2 linked regions of the Mytilus edulis genome follow. The protein of the gene in region 2 binds, or shares a complex with, the protein of the main gene of each other region. Links are inferred from orthologs where the notes say so. Each region holds a gene or a part of one and is shown on either strand. Other genes may lie near its edges.

Region 1 (3,759 bases), on a different chromosome or scaffold from region 2:
TTCAAGCTATTTTGCAGACCATTTTCGCTTTCTGATAATATGATTTTAAAATCGTCTGCAAGAAAGTGGCTTCCTATGTCTGAATTTATATGCTTTGCAGGGGTACATTTTTTGCTAATCATGGCAAATATCTGACTTAAGTCAATGATTAATAAAAAATATATATATATGTATAAAATCATATGTGGAGCTCAGCAAATAATCTCCTTGTCTAACACCTTTCTCTGCAATAAAATGTCTACTTGGTGTCGTCGTCCGTCGTCGTTAACTTTTACAAAAATCTTCTCCTCTGTAACTACTGGGCCAATTTAACCAAACTTGGCCACAATCATCATTGGGTATCTAGTTAAAAAATTTGTGGGCTCGACCTGGCCAACCAACCAAGATGGCCGCTATGGCTAAAAATAGAACATAGGGGTAAAATGTAGATCTTGCTTATAACTCTGAAACCAAAACATTTAGAGAAATCTGACATGGAATGAAATTTTTTATCAAGTCAAGATCTATCTGCCCTGAATTTTTTAGATGAATCGGACAACCGGTTGTTGGTTGCCGCTGCCCCTGACTTGGTATTTTTTAAGGAATTATTACCGTTTTTGGTTATCATTTTGAATATTTTTATAGATAGAGATAAACTGTAAACAGCAATTATGTTTAGCAAAGTAAGATCTCCAAATAAGTCAACATGACCAAAATTGTCAGTTGACCATTTTATGAGCTATTGCCCTGTATAGTCAATTTTTAACAATTTTCATAAATTTTGTAAATTTTGGTAAATTTTTGCAAAATAATTTCCTCTGTTACTAATGGCCCAAGTTCATTATAGCTGAGACTACTACATACACATGTGTAATAGTAGTCTCAGATAAAGATAATTGTAAGTAGCAAGAACGTTCAGTAAAGTAAGAACTTCAAACACATCACCATCACCAAAATACAACAAAATACAATTATGTCATGTATCCATCTGTGTTCTTTGTTTAATATTGTCACGCATAGGCGGATCCAGAACTTTTTCCTAAAAAGGGGGGGGGGGCGCTGACTGACCTAAGGGGGGCCGCTCCAGTCATGCTTCAATGATTCCCTATATAATCAACAATTTTTTTTAGTATTTAATTGTGTAGTGAGTTGGACACATCTTATCTTATAAAAAATTGCATGGTGGAGGACAGTATTTTATTCTGCTCCATTGGAGGTGTGCCTACATTGGCAGATTTTATACAGATACAGATCGATTATCCGGAACCACTACCGGAACTGGTTAAACTTCTACAATTTTTCAAAATGTCAGCCCCCATTCGTCGCTCATGAGCTTTTGAACATTACCATATACAAAGGGAAAATGCCGACCGATACTCGAAGGATTGGAGGTCCAGAGGAATCGTTCAGTCCTTTGGCATATACTCCAACCGATAGTACCAAAACTTTGATGGTAATGTAACAAATTAAACAGGTTGGGAACAAACCTTCTGTAAGGTGATTATACCCGGTTGGGGACAACCCACCAAATGGGTAACTGTTCCCCAAATGAGTAACAATAACTCATTTGAGTAATCATTTTGTAGTGCTAAAAAACAAAACTTTCTTAACTGAGTCTTTTTTCTTAAAATGGCACATATTCATGAAAAATGCAGCAACTTTTCTAAAAGATGATTATCCTTATCTTTTAAAGTTAATTTACTGAGAAGATACAAGCCTATGAAAAATCAGAAAATTTGACTATTTTCTAGGCTTCTAACTTTTTTAAAACCCACAATAAAAATATATTTCTTTGGGAGAAGTTGTTTCCATTTTCTATAAATTAGTGCCATTTTACCTAAAACGACCAATTTTAAGAAAATTTAGTTTTTAGCATTATGAAATTACTGTATACCTGTATAGAGGGATAATCCTTCTATAGAGGGAAAAAATTTAAAAAAAAACATAATACTGGTACAATACTGGTACAAATTTTTTATATCAGTATTGTGCACAATACTAGTTACCAGTATTGCAATCACCAACTACAGGAGATCCCTGTTTCCATCTCGGAACTGACCCAACGCAGACTGAATATTGTATACAAATGTAGTGTGATTAATATAGAAATATTTTGCATGTGATCGGGTCTCACTAAAACATATATGCAATAGCACTTTGTACAGCATTCTGCTAATCAATGGATTGACGTGGAAAATAAATCAGTAAAACAAAAAAAACCTTCCAGAAATAGAACATTGTAGAATAAAAATATGTTTAAAAATTTTATGCAAACAAATAAGAAAAAGATACAAAAAAAACCAAACAACAAGGCACATAAAATAAAAATAATTTTGAGGAACAAAGAAAATAAATAGTAAAATAGCAGTTGAAATGTGGAAAACATCGGTAGATATATAATAAGTATAGTCATATCACAACAGAAATATAAAAACCATGATTAAAAGAATTAGGCTACTTTTATTAAAACAAAGTTTTCTCCAGTACTTCACCTGTAAACATATTTTATGCCAAATACATGTAGGATGTAGAACTTCTATAATCAATTAAGTGACTGAGAGGTTAAAGTTACAGGTAACCTGATTCTGAAATCAGTGAACCATAATTCTAGTAGCAAGGATTAAGATGAAAGGACAAATATATTACCAGTCACACCTGGATCTGTTGATTAATGACCCTACTACCTACCATAAAAATGTCTGATTATTCATATCCGACTAGACAGATTAAGACATCCATAAAAATAAGTCTCTACCCCTACTGTAAATCAGTCTAGACCATGTAACGCTTGGACGCCAATGAGACACTGCATGTAGGAGCTGAATTTAATTGTAATATGATGCAAGCATTACCTGTGAAAGGGGAAGAAGTTTGTATGAATTATTTTTTTTAACTCAAACTTGTTAAAAAAAGAAACTGAAATTCAGAAACGTTTCCGATTTTGGTTCTGTTGTTAGGGATTTTAGTAGTGACATAATTTAAGTTATGACGTCATATTCAATGTAATAAAAAAAAAACTTATCAGGTAACTTTTTTTTATATCAAACAATTAATAAAAATGAATTGGATTACACTTTATCGCTTTTGTCCCCCATTACTGGATATCACAGTATGGTAACAGGATCTTTCGCCCTGATTACATGTTCGCCCTAGGTTCGTTCGCACTAAGTTTGTTCGCCCTGGCAATTCGTTCTCCCTGGGTGCGTTTGCCCTATTTTCATTTATGATATACATGTTGCATTAATGAAAGAAATATATATTTATATATATTAAAATTTATGTATATCTATTAAAAGTTAAATACAGAATATTAATTAAATAAAATTCTTGGCTGCATTGTTACACTTTATTTTATAATTACTTTTAATTACTGTTGATTGAATTTTGATTGCTAATTAGGAATAATTTGAAATCTTTGATATCACTGATTGGTATATGAATTGTTTTTGATGGATTAATAATGAAAATAACATTTTTCTCAAATAAAATAGTCAGCTTGGATGGGTAAAAAGAATGTAGGACAGAAAGTCACAGGACAAAAAGTCACAGACAAAAAGTCACGGACAAAAAGTCACAGGACAAAAAGTCACAATTCATTTTTTCTGATTATTTTCTTTGAATAAATAACGCTTATTTCTACAAAAATATTTTTGTATTTTTCTTAAACTATTGTATATAAACCAGCTTTTTAAACAAAATATATAAAAAAAATATCAAAGATTATCAAATAATTGTTAAAAAAACAAAATGTCAAAGTGACTTGGCACTTAAATGGCTTCA
Region 2 (3,759 bases):
AACTTTTGCTTTGACCCCTTCCTGCAAGGTAAGGCGTCAAAGAAAAAAATATAATAGCCTGTCAAGATGTCAAATAATTATTTGAACTACCCTGTGGGTCTCATTGAGGTATAAGCGTGACACTGGATTGCCGATTTTTTGTAAGCGTGACACGTGAAAATCAAACTATTGTCTCAGGAAAACGGGAAATGAGGTTTAGCGAGACCTGGGAAATGACAAGAAAATGAGAATTGCCTACATACATAGTGTAAGCAGGATACGGAAATCTGACAAAACAGTAAGCGGGAACCGGGATCGGAGCCCCCAATGAGACCCCCTACCCTCATTCAAGACGTCATACTCTGTCCTGTTAATCATGCTGTGAGAGCTATGTTAACTTTTGAAACGACACTGAAAATAATGGATCATTTATAAATAATCAATTATTGTACAATACAAATCCAGGCAGTCTATCTATCTATCTTCCCGTCAAGGAGTGGACTCATATTTGAGTGTATATACTCCAGCGTATATGTCAGTGATATATGTCAATTTATTATACGACCTCCAGCACGGCTTCAGACACTCTAGATCATGTGAAACACAACTTCTATCTTTTATACAAGAACTGGCTTCAAATTCAGACAATAACACCCAAACAGACCTTGTAATTATGGACTTTGCCAAAGCCTTTGACAAAGTCCCACATCAAAGACTCTTATACAAACTACACTTCTATGGAATACAAAATGAAACACTTAACTGGATCTCTGCCTTTTTATCAAACCGCACACAAACAGTTGTCCTGGATGGAGAGTCATCAGACGTTGCTCCAGTTACTTCTGGTGTCCCACAGGGAACAGTTCTGGGTCCAGTTCTATTCCTGGTTTACATAAACGACCTACCAGAATATTTGAAAACCAGTAAACTCAGACTGTTCGCCGACGACAGCATCATTTACAAAAGCATCAAATCTAAGGAAGATTGTGATAGTCTTCAGGAAGATCTTGATGCTGCTGCAAAGTGGGAAGAAGACTGGCTGATGGCTTTCCATCCAGACAAATGTACAGTTCTCACAGCCTCAAATAAGAAAAATACAATTAAAAAAGACTACATTCTCCACAGTCATACACTAGAATCTGTCTCCGCAGCTAAATATCTTGGTATAACACTACAATCTGACCTAAAATGAAACCAGCACACAAACAACATCATTGGCAATGCAAATAAAAGTCTAGGATTTCTAAAAAGAAATCTAAAAACATCAATCACAAACATTAAGTCCCAGGCATACCTAGCACTTGTCCGACCAAAACTAGAATATGCTTGTTCGGTTTGGAACCCTCATACTGCTGAACAATGCAATAAACTTGAGATGGTTCAACGTAGGGCAGCTAGGTATGCCTGAAATCGTTACCACAACACCAGTAGCGTTACAGACATGCTCAATACCTTAAATTGGCCTACCTTACAACAACGCAGACTTAAAACTAGACTTATAATGTTCTATAAAATTGTTCACCATATTGTCGCCATACCATCAGATTTACTCATACCAACAGACAATAGAACCAGACAATTCCATCCACAAACTTACAGACACATACTTACATTTAAAGACTGTTACAAATATTCCTTTTTTCCGTTTACTATTACACAATGGAATGTACTACCTCCAAAGGTAGTACTTTCTCCGACCTTAAATATTTTTAGAGAACAGTTGACACCTACTGTTCTCTACAATATAAAACAGTAAACCTAGTAGTTATGTAAATAGTTTTAACCACATGTCATGTTAGTATTTGTTTATTTTTGGCACTTTTCTTTTGTAAATATCTATTTATTATTATCCTACGCATGCGCAGCAGTTAGTAATCATCAAAAATCTGATGGATAACTGGATACCATAAGAAGAAGAAGAATAAGAAGATATATGTGTAGTTCGAATAATTATAACATTCTGGCAAGGCTGTTTTATTTTTTTTCTGAGACGCCTTCGTGTCGTAGGAAGGCGTCCCAGAACAAAAATAAAACAGCCTTGCCAGAATGTCATAATTATTTCCACTATGATGATATGTGTTGCCAGTTGGTTTTTTTTCAGAAATATTTTTCGTACAAAGAATTAAATAGTGAATAGAACTTATAAAACCTGAATGCCATGTATAATAAACACTTTCTCAGCATCACTCAACAAAGCATCAACCATGATTTTATCATAAAACTAATATCAACAGGGAAGCATGGTAAGAATAAATAAACCGGAAGTGTGAAGAATGCGAAAAACGTCATCAACAATTGGAAAATGTCGGCGCCCTGTGCCTGGTGATCCCAAACAAATCTCACATTAAAATTCCTTCTTTATAGAATGGATGACCCTCTGTAAGACTTATAAGCAAAACTTTTCGTAGTAGAATACACTATTTTCCTCGAAACGAACAGAAAAAGCATACATGAGAGAACAAAAACATGTTTATTCACCTGAAATTCCTCATTGAATCAGATTATCCAAAAAGATGTGATATTTCTTTCACATACATTTTGTTCCACTGATAGACTAAATGAAGCTGAAACAATGATAATTGAAAGTAGAAATTCTATTAATAAAATGGCTTTTTGCAAAGGCAGTGGCTATTTTACCGGCACCGGCAAAATAGCAAATTTGTTTAGCCGGCTCTGAATAAAATTGTTCATTGATCATGTTGATGTGATTAGTCATGGTAGTAGAGAATGAAAAAATCTTCATAATAATTTAAAATCTTTTTATCACAATATCAAGCACTAAAAATACAGTACAATCAAAAATAAAATATTGAAGATGTTCATATAAATAAATAATTTATAACTTAACCCTTCCAACGCTATACACGGCATATGCCGCGATGACGTACGCCGTTCGCCACTGCTATTCGCGGCATATGCCGCGATGAAAAAGGATTTTTCATAAGGACTCTTAAACCATTCGGTTTTCATTCGGGTTCTCTCTAATTTTTCCTCGTTTGAATCTAGGATATGCAAGGTCTCATTTGCGCTTGAAATCCCGACAATTTTTATAGTAAAATCATGCAGTAGAAGGAAAATAGAAGGAAAATAAAAACAAATATTTTGACAAATGCAAATGGCGGAAATCGGAAACGAAGCTGTAAATATGGAAAAATTTCAGCATTTCCTTGGCGAAACTTACAACAAGGATTAGTTAAAAGGTTTCTTGTTATCTCAATGTGTTTATTACATAAAATTCGTGTGGGAAATATGATTTGATCGATCATTACGAGACGTAGAAAAAGGGGGGAAAACGGAGGTTGACTGAAATTTTTTTTGACGGAGCTATTTATTTGTGCCACGATTACATAAAACGTTATGTATGGTACAATACGCTACGAAATCGGGCAACTGGTGTCTTCTTTACAATATGGCAGATAAAACAACAAAATAAATGAAGACTAAAAGTAGTTTTTATTCAAAATTCAACACAAATGTAATAAATTACACCTTTTACCTGTTAATTACCTGAAAACGCAGGTAACCTGATAAAAATTTCAGTAAAATAATTGCCTAACATTACAGTTCATGCTCTCCTGAGCATTTTTCATGCAATAACTTTCTCTGTATCTCATATAATAAAAAAGATACAGCAGTCTGAAAAGGAAAATACTGTTCTAATGAATGTACTAAAAAAAAATGCAGCAGCAGCAGCCATTTTTCTATTTTTTTGTGTAGCGTTGAAAGGGTTAATAATATTGATTAAAAGCATGACAACACCATCAAAAGATCAAAGAACTA

The links. Proteins that work in one complex are often made in the same cells at the same time.
Region 1: exosome complex component RRP42-like (region 2) and exosome complex component MTR3-like share a complex: the UniProt entries of both Homo sapiens proteins name them as parts of the RNA exosome core complex. The link is inferred for Mytilus edulis from reciprocal best matches to the Homo sapiens genes EXOSC7 and EXOSC6.

What each region holds. Positions count from the first base shown.
Region 1 is NC_092345.1:86,987,708-86,991,466, forward strand, and holds the start of exosome complex component MTR3-like, read left to right. Parts: upstream 1-1,258; 5' UTR 1,259-1,342; coding exon 1,343-1,432; intron 1,433-3,759. UniProt on the Homo sapiens protein: Non-catalytic component of the RNA exosome complex which has 3'->5' exoribonuclease activity and participates in a multitude of cellular RNA processing and degradation events.
Region 2 is NC_092348.1:9,394,238-9,397,996, forward strand, and holds the start of exosome complex component RRP42-like, read right to left. Parts: upstream 2,272-3,759; 5' UTR 2,186-2,271; coding exon 2,129-2,185; intron 1-2,128. Other genes in the region: palmitoyltransferase ZDHHC3-like, read left to right, coding at 2,345-2,358. UniProt on the Homo sapiens protein: Non-catalytic component of the RNA exosome complex which has 3'->5' exoribonuclease activity and participates in a multitude of cellular RNA processing and degradation events.